4 linked regions of the Cricetulus griseus genome follow. The protein of the gene in region 1 interacts with the protein of each later gene in a pairwise test. Links are inferred from orthologs where the notes say so. Each region holds a gene or a part of one and is shown in the gene's direction. Other genes may lie near its edges.

Evidence for each region.
Region 2: the proteins of Poc5 (region 1) and Cetn2 interact in binary tests that used the Homo sapiens proteins (3 or more experiments, as listed by UniProt). The link is inferred for Cricetulus griseus from reciprocal best matches to the Homo sapiens genes POC5 and CETN2.
Region 3: the proteins of Poc5 (region 1) and centrin-1 interact in binary tests that used the Homo sapiens proteins (3 or more experiments, as listed by UniProt). The link is inferred for Cricetulus griseus from reciprocal best matches to the Homo sapiens genes POC5 and CETN1.
Region 4: the proteins of Poc5 (region 1) and Cetn3 interact in binary tests that used the Homo sapiens proteins (3 or more experiments, as listed by UniProt). The link is inferred for Cricetulus griseus from reciprocal best matches to the Homo sapiens genes POC5 and CETN3.

Annotation. Positions count from the first base shown.
Region 1 is NC_048595.1:315,069,217-315,072,785, forward strand, and holds part of Poc5 (centrosomal protein POC5), read left to right. Parts: intron 1-244; 5' UTR 245-256; coding exon 257-340; intron 341-2,835; coding exon 2,836-2,953; intron 2,954-3,569. UniProt on the Homo sapiens protein: Essential for the assembly of the distal half of centrioles, required for centriole elongation. Acts as a negative regulator of centriole elongation.
Region 2 is NC_048604.1:2,886,937-2,891,175, forward strand, and holds the start of Cetn2 (centrin-2), read left to right. Parts: upstream 1-1,389; 5' UTR 1,390-1,434; coding exon 1,435-1,536; intron 1,537-1,541; exon of another isoform or gene 1,542-1,672; intron 1,673-1,691; exon of another isoform or gene 1,692-1,820; intron 1,821-3,537; coding exon 3,538-3,696; intron 3,697-3,974; coding exon 3,975-4,103; intron 4,104-4,239. UniProt on the Homo sapiens protein: Plays a fundamental role in microtubule organizing center structure and function. Required for centriole duplication and correct spindle formation. Has a role in regulating cytokinesis and genome stability via cooperation with CALM1 and CCP110.
Region 3 is NC_048595.1:236,454,171-236,456,540, forward strand, and holds centrin-1, read left to right. Parts: upstream 1-1,319; coding exon 1,320-1,838; downstream 1,839-2,370. UniProt on the Homo sapiens protein: Plays a fundamental role in microtubule-organizing center structure and function. Plays a role in sperm cilia formation.
Region 4 is NC_048595.1:302,231,335-302,235,595, forward strand, and holds the start of Cetn3 (centrin-3), read left to right. Parts: upstream 1-1,450; 5' UTR 1,451-1,568; coding exon 1,569-1,585; intron 1,586-2,781; coding exon 2,782-2,917; intron 2,918-4,261. UniProt on the Homo sapiens protein: Plays a fundamental role in microtubule-organizing center structure and function. As a component of the TREX-2 complex, involved in the export of mRNAs to the cytoplasm through the nuclear pores.

The DNA of each region.
Region 1 (3,569 bases):
ACCTTTTATGCATTTAGCTCATCTCTTTCAGTGTATTATAAATGCACTAATGTTTGGAGTAAGGTTTGGGGGAGAGGAGAGCTGATGATTGTTGCCTGTAAGCACTCAACATGTTGAGTGGGTGATTTTTTAAATGACATGAAAAAATGTTTGCAAGTTAAAGCATTGCTCACTAGTGTGTATTTAAAAGCTTTGGCTTAAGCATTATGGGAAACAACCAAAGTTAACATGTGCTGTTTTATAGCTTCTGTACAAGATGTCATCTGATGAGGACAAATTCTCACTTCATGTTGCTCACAATGACTCTGATCATGACAGCTCTGTCTCCACAGACCTTCAGGTAGGAAGACATCTAAATTTATTACAGTTTTTTTTTAAAGCATAAAGCCCTGTGTAATGGTGTATGCCTTTAATCCCAGCACTGAGGAGGCAGAAGCAGGAGGATCTCTGAGTTTAAGGCAGCCTGGTCCACATAGAGAGTTCCATGACAGTCAGGGCTACAAAGAGATACCACCACCACCCCAAAAATAAAGTGTTAATTTGTGGTAAAACCAGACGTATATATTTATACTTACTGATTCCATTTACAATGAAATATTGTATTTATGACATTATTAAACTTAGAGAACTCTCTACTATTTTGGGGAGTATAGTGTAGGGAGACACTATAACCACGCCTCCTAGGGGCTGGCTACAGGTGTGCCTGACCACGCCCGTCAGGGTGACTTGGGAAAGGTTTAAAGGAATAGCCAAGGCACACGGTACTCTCTTGTCTCTGCTGCTTCGGCTCGCTCTGGTTTCGTGTTGGTTGGCATTTACTTATTAACGATATCCTGACTATTACAGGCTACATATTATTTATTCACCATACTAGTATAATGTTGTAAGTTTCAGAAAATAGCCATGAGCTGTTCAAAAGATTTTCTAAAAAGGCTTTCACACAGTGAAATGTTCCTATTTAACTGCCTCTGCTGAATGCCCTCATTCTTAATATAAAGTAACAGAACATCAGCCCATCTGAGGTTCTAGAGCCCAGAATTCTCCCATGTTCTGTGCAGTGAGGTTCTGGTTCCGTTTGCCACAACATTTGGCATAATCTGCCACCTTAATTGGACACTGACAGACAAGTTAGGAGCCCGACTAGGTAAGGTGTCATATTTACATGAGAGAGTCAAAACCCAAAGACAATGTTTTCTAACTGCCTTAGCCGGTGGGAGATAGGAGAAATAAATGACCATTTGCCCAGGTCAAACCCTGGGGCTTATTAATGACAGGAATAAAGGAGAAATGGGTATTCATTAGTAAGTCAACTTGGAATTCTGTATATTATTTTATTAGGGTCAACTCACATTTAGGTTTCTAGAAACCAACGAATGCCTTGTATCTTATCCACATTTATCAAGTTAGGGTTGTCTTTTATTTTAATAACTTAAAAACTTGGGATTTCCTTTTATTTTAACAACCAGGTATAACTGTAGTTCTTTTAATTTAAGAATATTTAAATCTTTTTAAAGAATTAGAATTACTTTTGTCATCAATAATTTAAAAAATTATAATTAATTTACTATAATTTAAAAGAATTGTAACTACTTTGGACATCATGATATGCCAAATGAATTTTTTTTTCCTGACACAGAGTTTCACTTTGTAGCTTCAAGTTATCCTGGAACTCTCACTGTTTAGCCCAGGCTAGCTTCAAACTCCTGGTCCTCTTATCGCCACTTCTTAGTGCTACAATTACAGGTGTTTTCATCTGCACCTGCTGCACCTTCTACTTAATCCTAGAAAACAGTTAAATCTTGGGTTTTATTGCTTTGAAGGGGTGTCACTAACAAAGCATTGGTTATAGACATGTGAAGAGGGCTCTGGTGTTAGCGTTTTCTGTCAGCTGACTTTCTTTTGTCACTCCATAGGTGTCTTCTTTTCTTCTTCCATAACATTAATGTACACTGCATAAAAAAATGTATTTCTTTCACCTAGTGCTCAATGCATATGTGTAATAAATAGAGTCCAAGTTGAAACTCAAACCATCTCACTCTTTCACATTGAAATTTTACAGTTTTCAGACAGAATAGTACAAACTCCTTTTATAGTTTTACCTAAAATTCCAATACTAAAAGAAAGCTATAATCATACTGATTTATTTTATGAACTCAAATCCATGGCATTTTCCTTTAACAACAGCAGCAAAAATAAGCAAGCTACCCCTGTGAGTATGGGCTTGAATCTAGGCAAAAAAATCCTATGTAGTTTCATAAGCTTGAGAATCCAGTTTGCTTCTTTTGAGTTACATAATATCAAGAGAATTCTGGTACCTTGTGTGGTGGTAAATGCCTGTAATGCAAGCACTCAGGCTTAGGCAGGAAAATTGCAGGCTTACTAGAGACCTGGGTTACATAGCAAGTTCTAGCCTGTGGAATGTAGGGAAATTCTGCCTCAAAATAAGAAAGGAAGAAAGGGTAAAAGGTAAGAACCGAAGAGAGAAAATATAAGCTGAGTCTCAATTTAAATACTTGAATTGAAAGTAATAGTGTTTTAAAGCATGTCTTATCTCATCTTCAGTTAAATTGATATGAAACATAACAAAGAAGAGAGAGAAAATATTATATTGAATCACTAATATCCATTACATCTTTAAACTTTTAATTGTATGTAAAAGTCATACCAGAAGTACTCAAAGGAATCAAGCTTAGCATAAGAGAGAAATTTTTCTGTATTGTGGTAAGAACATGACTATTACGTGGTTAAGTAGATTTCTTAACACAACAAAAAATTGAGTGGTTGGATGCAGCATTATAGCTGTCATAATACATCACTGTGATTGGCTTCTCATAGGAAGAGTATGAAGAGCTGCTCCGCTATGCTATTGTGAATCCAAATGTTGAGTCCAGTGCTTCACAGCCGTCTCATCCGAAGGGAGAAGTGGCACCAGACAGATTTCCTACACTAGCAGGTATGCTTTGCTAACCAGGTTAGGTACAGTTTTCAGGATACCACGTAAGATTCTGAGTTTGTCAGTGATGCTGATGGGACTGTGGAAATGTTCCTCACCATCAGTGGTTTCTTCCCAGTCCATGGTGTAAAGCAGTATCTATCACATGGGGCCTGCCTTATATTTACTGTGTTGTCCCTGGCACTTTTGACAGCTAGATTTTTATTTAAACTTCAGTTGACTTTTAACTTTATGAAAATTACTAAAGTCAAAGCAACCCAGTAGTGATTATCTCTTAGTGGATTATGTTATATTCCAGTTCTTGAACCAGAAGTTTTATGCCGAGATTACTTTGAAAACTAAATGCCCAAGCCCATCTTTAAAGATGATCTGGACACCTCCCTCAGGATCCCTTAAGTTACTCTATGAACCACATACTGGTACTCTGTCAGCAGTATTTATGTGGGCATGGAGGATAGTTTGGATTACAGCCCAAAGGTGGACCTTTGTGAACTGTCAGCAGTAGATCTGGTATCTGATACAAGCCAAGTTGTGCTTAATAGAAGGGTTAAACTGATACAAGCCAAGTTGTGCTTAATAGAAGGGTTAAAGGTAGAAACAAAAAGGAAGTTCTTTT
Region 2 (4,239 bases), on another chromosome or scaffold:
CAGAGGCAGGTGGATCTCCATGAGACTGGTCAGCCTGATCTATATAGGGAGTTCCTGGACAGCTGGGGCTACACAGTGAGACCCTAGCTCAAAACAATGACAAAAAAATTATACACATCTGTGACAAAAATTCTCAAAGAATTAATCAAAATATTGTATTTTTTCAAAGTTCATGGGGCTGGGTAAGGTCAATGCAGGAAGAGTTTATCAGTCATGAAAGCAGTGTCTTGGGTGGGAGTTAGCCAGGGATGAGGAGGTGTGTACCAGTGTGGGTATGATAGGAGGAGTTGCATGCCAGGGAGACTTTGGTGATAAATCCAGCTCATAATGTTGATGAAGGGCTGGGAAGAAGCCGAAAAAAAGAAAAGACACTTCAAAGGCAGAACTGAGAGAATCCAGGGGCTGGGTATGGGGGATTGCTGCTAGAGGGAACAGAGTGGTCGAATGGGATACAAAAGTTTTGAATCTGGTTCATGGCTCCAAGGAAGGAAGGTAAACGGCCTACATTACATTTATAGTATGCTGTTAAGTTTCTCTGGCCTTTGTCAGTTTGAGAAACTGATGCTATGGCATTAATGTCCCCAAACTAATATTCTATGCCTTGAGGGAAGCATGTGTGATGGTTGAGGTACTGCTGTAGCTGACCGTGGACCTCCATTATTTCTGGAACAGTTCCAGGTAACACCACCCCCCCCCCTGCACACATTTCTGTTTAATGCTCTATGCATCCAACATTTCCAAAATCCCTGTAGCTTTTCTTTGAAGGAAGTTTCATCCAGGAATGGTCCTTCTCATGTGACTTTTGTGTCTGCACGTTCTAAAAGGGCACATTCTGATGACTTTTCTAGACCCAGAAAGTCCCCAGTTCATCATCTTGAGAACTACATTCACAAAGACTCGCCTGCATTGAGTTTCTAAGTCCCAGCCCCGTGAACCGCTGATACAACAGTCAGCATGCCCACTCCCCTTTCTAGGCCTCAGCTGCCCCAAATAGTCACCCCTGCAACCCGTTAGGCCAAATCTTTCCTGGCCCCATAGATAGTCTGTGTTCCCATCTCGGGTTTTACCATATCCCACCCATTCTCTCTCATTGTCTCCCGGCTCTTTTGCTCACACGCAGCAGCCTCCATGAGCAAGGCCGCAACTCTTACCCGGTTTAGGCACTCTTGCAGTCGACTTCAGCTTGTTAGCAACCTGCAACCAGCGAACTTCAACCCAAGACCAGACACCCTTTTCTACGGAGAGGTATGGGCCCATGATCAGCCGAGCTTCCTTCCTCACGTTGATTGGTCTAGCGCGGGTCCGGCGCAGCCAGTTGACGCTCACAGCGCGATTTTGTCCAATGAGATCGTCAGTCCTTGCCGCCACCACACTGCCCTCTTACCCTGGGGCGGACCTTGCCAGGTTAGCCCCACCTTCTCCGTCCGCAAACCAATGGGAAGCGGGTCGCGCGCGCGCAGAGCAGTGGGAAAGGCGCCGAGGCCGCGAGTACGCGTTGCCTTAACAACCGGTCGCGGAGGAGTCCATTCGGCGATGGTAAGTGCTGGGCGTTCCATGGACCCTGCGTAGTGCCTCCGAGCCCTTCCTAGGCCTCATTGCGGCCCTGCAGCCTTTCCTGCATTCTTCTTCGCTTTGGCGTACTAGTTCTTCCTTGGAGCTCTATGCCGGAAGGGTAGGAGAAAAAGTACAGCCTCTGGCCGCTAGCCTGCCTGCGCTTCAACACTTAACCCTCCCCGCCCCCAGTCACCTTCAGTCACCCCTAATCTGCCTGTTGATCTCTGCTGGTTTTCCTGGAACCACAGGTGACCATTCTGTTGCAGGTAACACTCAGGCTTCCCACAGACTCAGACCTCAGACAGACACAGGCGTCCTGGCCGCTGCCACCTGCTAAAGTTTATGCGTGGTACTAAGAGATTTACTATGTTCTGATGGTCACAAATGTATTGAGGCTTTCAGGAGATGCTTTGAGCTTCGCAGACAAGGCACCAAGTGCTAAATGGATTGGGAACTAGCATCCTAAGTTGATGTTTTAAGTACATGTCTAGAACTCAGATCCCCAGATTCACAGACAGTTGATATCTGTTAAGTATGCATAATTAGTTTCTCACCTAGCTTTCTTTCAGGATGAAAAATAAGGGGTTTCCTGGCCTCTAAAATCAATATTTTTTAAAGAGTCAGAGGTTCATAGAAACATTAATTGTTCTTTCCAGGAAACTTCCTTATTGCTCAATTTATTAGGCAGATCTTTAGAATCAGTTGGTATAAATTATTTTTCCATTAATCAGCTGTCTGAGTTAGCAGTGGCATTAGAACAAGGAGGGATCTTTTTTTTCATCTTTGGTAATGAAAACTTAAACCACACCGTGTTGCTTTAATTGAATATACAATATAGAAATTTGTGACAATCTATTCATAATAAAATTATAAGTTTATTACTTACAAACAGATATGGTCTCAAATTTGCTGTTTACTAGCTTTAGAAAAGAAGGAGAAAATGCAAGCATGTTGAACCTTTAGGTAAACATGTTATTCTCATTCAAAGAGTTTTTAATGTTGCTTTTTTTTTTGTTTTTTTTTCGAGACAGGGTTTCTCTGTGTAGCTTTGGAGTCTATCCTGGCACTCGCTCTGGAGACCAGGCTGGTCTCGAACTCACAGAGATCCACCTGCCTCTGCCTCCCGAGTGCTGGGATTAAAGGCATACGCCACCAACGCCTGGCTAATGTTGCTTCTTTATATTTAAAAGTTTTTGATTTAAGAAATCTTGATTTAAAAAATTTAATTTTCTAAAGTGACATGTCTATTAAAGGTACAAATGAATACACTATCTGTAGTATAAACTTGAAGACAGTGGAGGCCAGAATTATATCCTGTGATGAAAAACTGGTCATGTTAACACCAGAAATTCATATTCATATATTCATTTGCTCTATGTTGATCTATACAGGGACAAGGAGAAAAATGTTAATATATTATTTTAAAATGAAAAGTCCCTTCAGGCTGCTGGCTCCCCAGTGAAATATAATTGGATTTAATCATGTGAGACATTACATTATTAACAGAAATGATGTTTTAATTTACAGTTATGGTAGAACACAGTCATTTAATTAGTGTATTGCTGATTTTCTGTTTTTTACAATGTGATACTAAAAGCTAAAATATACTTATTAAAGGGGTTTTAAATTAAAGAGAGTTTTTCTATTTTTCTTCTCAGGATTTTTTTTAGAGTTGGGGTTAATTTTACTTAGTTTGAACCCTTGTTATTTGTGTAAGGGAGAAGGGGACTCAGTCTGAGCATGAAGGTCAGAGAACAACTTGGAAGAGTTGATTCTCTCTACCATGTAGGTGCTGGGTTCTCACTTATGTTGTCAGGCTTGGCAGCAAGACATCTCACCAGCTTATGAAAGTTTATAGAATGACATGTACATTACTCAGAGTGGAGCATAAATGAAAAATTTATGAATGTCTAGAACTGTCATAAATAAAATATGGACTATGGCTTATAATACTGTGCTTCTGTGTTTGTATAATGTCTGAAGGCCTCTACTTTTAAGAAGACAAACATGGCATCCAGTGGCCAGAGAAAAAGAATGAGCCCTAAGCCTGAACTGACTGAAGAACAGAAACAGGAAATCCGGGAAGCTTTTGATCTCTTTGATGCTGATGGAACTGGAACTATAGACATCAAGGAACTAAAGGCAAGCTGCACACATTCCTGTTTTGGTGCCTTGTGTTTCCTTGTTGTTTGTCTTTTACCTATCACCTTTCTCCCTGTAAAAAGTAACAGAAAAAGGTACCCTGTGTATATTTAACCTGAAACAATGATCTAATGATAAAAGTTGATTGCAAATATCAATTAAATCAGCTTTACAGTGTTCCCTAATCATTTTCACCATTTTGTTATTATCATCAATAGCCATTTTTGCGTCTACATCATTTATATGTGTTTATTTAGATGATCCTGTTTTCGTTGTAGGTTGCAATGAGGGCTCTGGGCTTTGAACCTAAGAAAGAAGAAATCAAAAAGATGATAAGTGAAATTGATAAGGAAGGGACAGGAAAAATGAACTTCAGTGACTTTTTGACAGTGATGACTCAGAAAATGGTAAGTTAGTTGAGATAATGAGCATACTTCCCATCCATAATGGTAGATACATGGGAATCTAGACATAAAAAGAACTTCATCCAATAAAATCTATACCATTCACATGATTGAGCATTGTATTTATAATTAAGAGGAT
Region 3 (2,370 bases), about 79 Mb from region 1:
TTTTTTTTTATTACTTAGTAACTATCCTTTTATTTCTAAAAGACAAGTTTAGGTCTCCATATGTGCTGTGTAATCACTTCCCATGTCCACAATCAAAGAGGGATCACAGTAACTGAATACAACGGGCTATCCTCTAGATGAGGGTGGAACCAACTAGCATGACCAAATGAAAGTATGCAGACTTATTACTTGCAGCACCTAAGGAGAGCATTGGCATTATCTACAAAACAATGCTCTCACCACATAAAGTGTAGGAGTTTTATTTCAGAAGCCTACACATATAAGAAAGGACATAATAGAGGCACTTCTGAGCTTGCTTGGTGTAAGATGTCTTTCACTGGGTTTATTTGATTTAAGGTCATATATCTCAGGCTTAAAAGAAAAGAAAGATGATAGGCATGAAACTTCCAGGCATTTGTGTTGAGAACTTTAAGAGTAGAGTTCTATTTAGGTTACCTTGACTGTTTCCTTAAAGATTTTCCCTATGAGTTTTCAGGTGGACCTAAAAGAAAGAACAATTTGACAGTGCACTCATAGACTTCTAAAGGGACAGTAGATTTCTCCTTTGTAAAGAGAGTTTGACCCTAAATCTACCTTCCTTCTTAGTGACTTTTATTACCAGAGTGTGGATTGTATGATAAGCTCTGAGAGTAAGTATAGTGCTAGGGTTTCTAAAATACATGCCAGCATACCAGAAATATAACACTTCCGCCCTTGTCTGTTCGAGTCAAAAATGCATCATGTACCTCAAACCCGGGTACTAAAGTGAATTCTACTGGGTATTACATTTCAGAGTTGAGAAACTGCCAGAAAACTCTTACTATGGTTAAACATAATGTCAGGAGACAAACTTCTTTAAATTTTCCATGTAATTGCTTCCATCTTATGGTGTGATCTGAGTATTCCCTCCTTCTTTTTAGAATTTAATACCAAGTTATCAATTCAATCTTGATTACCCCACCTTTGTCCTTAGGTAGCTTCAGATTAAGGAAGTTATTTTAATTAGTATGAAAAAGGAGCTTCAGACTTTCAAATAAATACACACAAGGCACTGCAGACACAAACCAAAGGCTTGGAAAGAACTGCATTGTAGAGACAACAGTAGCTACAGCAAGGTTCTTGCCTGCTGGTATCAACTTGCAGAAAGTGAATGTCAAAGTGAGGAAACTGTGGATTATAATGTCAATAACATCTAAGATGGGGCAGGGCTCTATGGTGCAGACACTAGGTGCATAGGGGCTGGCGCAGGCGCAATAGCGGGGGTACCTAGCACACACGCGGGTGGCAGGGCGCCGTTAAGGACCCAATCGTGGTGGAAGATGGCGTCCAACTTAAGGAAGCCAAATGTGGCCTCCACCAGCTACAAGAGAAAGGTGGGTCCTAAGCCTGAGCTCACGGAAGACCAGAAGCAAGAAGTTCGGGAAGCCTTTGACCTCTTTGATTCTGATGGGAGCGGAACCATCGACGTGAAAGAATTGAAAGTGGCCATGAGAGCACTAGGCTTTGAACCTAGGAAGGAAGAGATGAAGAAAATGATTTCAGAAGTAGACAAAGAGGCCACAGGAAAGATCAGCTTCAATGACTTCTTGGCTGTAATGACTCAGAAGATGGCAGAGAAAGATACCAAAGAAGAAATTCTGAAGGCTTTCAGGTTGTTTGATGATGATGAAACCGGGAAAATCTCGTTCAAAAACCTCAAGCGTGTGGCCAATGAGCTGGGGGAAAACCTCACGGACGAGGAGCTGCAGGAAATGATCGACGAAGCTGATCGTGACGGCGATGGAGAAGTGAACGAGGAAGAGTTTCTTAAGATCATGAAAAAGACCAATCTTTATTAAGTGACTGCCTGGGGTTCCTGCTTCCACTTCTGTGAAAGTATAACAGAACAGTGTGGTCTGCTTCCTCTTCCTGCCTCATTTGTCTTTGGTTGGCTTCTAAACCTCTAGATCAATTATAATGTAAGGATACTTACTATGTGAGTTCTGTTGTTTAATTTTGAAGAGCAATAACCTCAAATAAATCTTCTCTAGGCTGGAGCCTGCCACAACCATATCATTACAACAAAACTAGCTCTCTGGACACTTCTGTGATTTTAAATAACATAAATACACTGGTGATTCCTTCAAGTGAGTGTCCTAGTATGGTGAGTTAGAATTCAGGTCATTCAAGCCATTGCTTTTCACTTAAGTGGATACCGCTCTGAAGGATAATAATGAGGCTACTGTAGAACTATTTTAAATTAAGGAAAAACTACTTAAGAACTATTTAAATTATGGACAGATACTCCTCAATAAAACCTTGCTTTCTCTTCAAAAATAAAATATAAACTTTAGGTTTGCTGAGTGTGGTGACATACAGGTATAATCCCAG
Region 4 (4,261 bases), about 13 Mb from region 1:
ATTAATTTTAGTAGTTGACACAGAAATATGCTTTTCAGTCTTGTCTATATTGACTAAATTGAGTTTTCCAACTTTAAGTTACCTTTGCTTTCCTTGAAGTGATTTCATTTTATGTATTAGAAACATCAAGTTTATAAGTGTGTGTGTGTGTGTGTGTGTGTGTGTGTGTGTGTGTGTGTTTGTGCCACAGTCATGGCACCTGTAGTCAGTAGACAACTTTTTGGGGTTGGTCTCTTATTCCACTATGAGTTTCTAGCAGGTTGCAGGTGGTGGAGATCAGACTGGTATAGAAGTGCTTTTAACCAATGCACTATCTTTGCTGGTCTGTTTAAACTTCCCTTTTAAAGGCGTAACTAAGTAGTAATAGTTTGTTTCTTTTACTTCCCAGGAGTCTGAAATTTATGTGTTGTAAGAATAAGCTTAATATTAAATGAGAGCATTTTTATCGATTTATTATTTCTATCAAGTTCCTTTGAAAAAAATCATCTCACATTACCAGGCAGTGGTGATGCATACCTTGAATTCCAGCTCGTGGGAGACAGAGACAGGAGGATCTCTGAGTTTGAGGTCAGACTGGTCTAAAGACTTGCAGGATATCCAGGGATGTTAACACTGAGAAACCCTGTCTCAAAAAAGCAACAACAAAAACAAACAAAAATTGTCTTGTTATTTTTCTGTAATTTATTCCTTCTAATTTAATTTTGTCCTTTGTTTCAAACATCTTCATGTAAATGGTTTATTTTCAGATTATCTAATAATTTAATATTTAATAATACCAGGTATTTTATTTGGTGCAAACATTCGGTTAAATGGAAAGTAGACTCCTGACTTTGATGCCATTCAGTTTAGCAGGTGAATGATCCAGGTGAGCTTCAGGAGGCCTGGTGGGTAATGAAGACCATGGGCACATAAACAGTGTTCAGCACTAGAAAATACAGGACAGAAGCAAACAAATACATCTCAAATCGCACACAAGTTGAAAACGGTGGTTTAGGTAGTTTTTCTGTAAATAAACTAACAGACCAACATAATGATGAGCCTACTTTAGTTTGTCTTCGGCCTTGGTGGTGCACATCTTTAATCCCAGCACTTGGGAGGCAGAGGCAGGCGGATCTCTGCGGTTGAGGCCAGCCTGGTCTACAGGGTGAATTCTTGGAATCACTTGGAAACGTTGAAAAGGGAAAACACTTGGTGGCTTAGTAGTTACTGAAATAAGAATGGAGAACAAAGCCCTCAGATTTACGTTTTGACCTTCTGAGTGGCAAGGGCTGGATCCCCAGTGACTGCTTGTGCTGAGCATTTTCCCTTCCCCCCCCAGAGCGCCCGAACCCAGCGTGGTGACTGACACCGGCAGCAGGGCCAAAGGTACTTGATTGACACGAACGGTGACCAATGAGAACAGAGGGCCGGCGAGGCTCCCGCCCCAATGGGCCGACTATTGGCAGTCTTCAGCCAATCGCAACCAGAAATCTCTGTTTGGTGGGTGGTCCCGCGGCCGGGAGGTTGGTGGCTGTTGAGCGGTTCCCGTGGAAAAGTCCTTGGGCGGAACATCTTGGCCGGAAGAGAAAATGAGTTTAGCTTTGAGGTCGGTAACGAGGAGGCCGTGTGTCCATTCCGCAGAGGGCCAGGGCGGGCGCGGAAGGGAAGCCGGGCCGGGCGCGGGTGCAGAGCGCCGAGCATCACGGCGGTGCGGCCCTTTTCTGCGGACTGCGCCGGCGCCGCATCGGGAGCCCAGTCTCGCGAGGTTTCCCTCCTGCGTGTGAGGAACTCGGGCCTGGCGGCCTCCTTCCTTAGGACAAGCGTGGGACAGCCAGGCTCTCTCCGCGGTCGAGGCGCCCTGTGCGTCGGCCGCCCCGGCGGATCTGGTGCCCTTGATTTCCGCCATTCTCGTCCAGGCACCCACCTGGCCCACTGGCTCCCATTGGCTCCTCACCCTGTCCATCTTCACGTGCAGGCGCTGTAGAGTGGGTAGACGCTGATGGCCCGGCGGGGGTGTGGCCCGGCGTGGGTGTGGCGGGCGGCCACCTCTGCTCAGCCCCTGCCAGCCTTCTGCCCTTCAGGTGTAAAGAGCCTACACACTCAGCCGTGTTTCAGGCTTTCAAGCTTCCATTTCTTAAAACCTAGCGGATACACGTGTTGTGCCTCATTTAAACATTGGCAGTCTTTAAGGCAGACGTTTTTGGCCCTAAATCCCTTTTTAGATGTTCTTTTACGCTTCTCCAGAGTTTTTAAATGAAGACGTTTAACCCATTGTTTATAGGTTGAGACTGACAACACTTTTAAACATCACACAGACTCAAATAGGAACATTATATGCTATTATTTTGGTCGTCTAGTATTTGTTTAGGTGCTTTTATATTTTGGCTGGTTAATATGGAATGAAAACACAAAGCACTGTTAGAAATGTATAATCTGAAAGCATTTTGAACTTGCAGTGTTAAAGTGACTCACCTTATAAGCTTTATGGTTAATCTTTGTAGTAATTGTGAGAATTTAATTAGAAGCTGTCCAAGGTAAACCATATATCGTGGTTGTCATTTGTGAAATTTACTTTCACATGGATTTTTATATTTGTTTTCATGCTCTTGGTAGGTAACATGAATAACAACTAATAGTGCTTTGGATTTTGGTATATAAAAGTACATTTGGAGTACAAGACGTTGACTTAGGGACAGCTTCTTTATTCTCCAGACTATTCTGCTTTGTTGAAGTTTAGAAAACCATTCTTTGTTCTAAGTGAGTTGGGTTGAAGTGGACTAAACACATTTTCCTGTGTCACAGAAGTGAGCTTGTAGTAGACAAAACAAAGAGAAAAAAACGAAGAGAGCTCTCTGAAGAACAGAAGCAAGAAATTAAAGATGCCTTTGAGCTCTTTGATACCGACAAAGACCACGCAATAGATTATCATGAATTAAAGGTAACAGTGTATTTGATGACACATCTCTTTTGTTTAAATGAATTGCACTTTTGACTGTTGCTTTAAAGTCTATTTTAAAAACTTGTTTTAGAACCCTGAAGCTGTTTTCAGTATCCACTTACAGGGGCTGCAATAAAATTGAATAAAAAACCCTAATATGGCTTTTAGAAACTCGTATTTAAATGTAAAAGTACATTTGGTGGGAAGTAAGGCTTTTTCATTCACCCAGGTGAAAGAACAGTTCTTAGCTTATTCTTCCCATTTTTGGTTTCTTCTGGAGGACGGAGTAGCTCAGATTCTTTAAAAAAAACATGTATGTGGCATGTGCATGTGCATGTGCCTGTGCAGGCATGTAAACCACATTGTGTAGTGTGTGGAAGGCAGAGTGGGGCTTTGTGTATCTTTCATCACCATCTACCTTACTGCCTGGAGACAGGGCACCTCACTGAATTGGAAGCTCATAGCCTAGGTTGGCTAGAGAGTGAACTCTGGAATCACATCCCGATCTACCCCTCAATGCTGGGGTTACGGACACTTGTAGCCATGCCTGTCTTTATGTGGGTGGTTACAGTTCCAGTTCTGGTCCTCGTGAGTGCAGGACAAGCGCTCTTATCCACTGAGCTATCACTTAAGCACAGCACAGACAATTTTCAGATTGAGAGAGTGTTACCTTTGCTCAGATGTTTCCGAGATTGAAAATGTATCCTTTCAAGCTTTTATTATTTATCTTTATTTTATATTTTTGTTGGACAAGGTTTCTTTATGTAACAGCCCTGGCTGTCCTGGAACTCAGCTTTGTAGACCAGATTGACCGAGAACTCAGATTTGTTTGCCTCTGCCTCCCAAGCGCTGGGATTAAAGGCATGCAACACCACCACCTGGCTCAATCTTTGAATTTTCAAAGATAATACGGACAAACTCTTATTTTTCTTTTCTTTGCTACAAAGGATGTACATTGTCTGATGCCTTATGTTGATACATGCTGAGGGACTATGTCAAATTTAAGGCTTAAAATTACTAGTAAAGGAGCTGGGCGGTTGTGGTGCACACCTTTAATTCCAGCACTTGGGAGGCAGAGGCAGGCGGATCTCTGTGAGTTTGAGACCAGCCTGGTATACAAGTTCCAGGACAGCCTCCAAAGCCACAGAGAAACCCTGTCTCCAAAAACAAAAACAAAAACAAACAAACAAACAAAAAATCCAAAACTACTAGTAAAGATTGGAGAAATTGGTGAGGATCTTATTCAGTCTACTAGCATTTATGAAATCTTTTAGTAGCCTTAATGTTTATAGTAGTTTTAATTCGGCAACATTGTAGGGGGGTTTTAAGCAATCTAAGTATGGG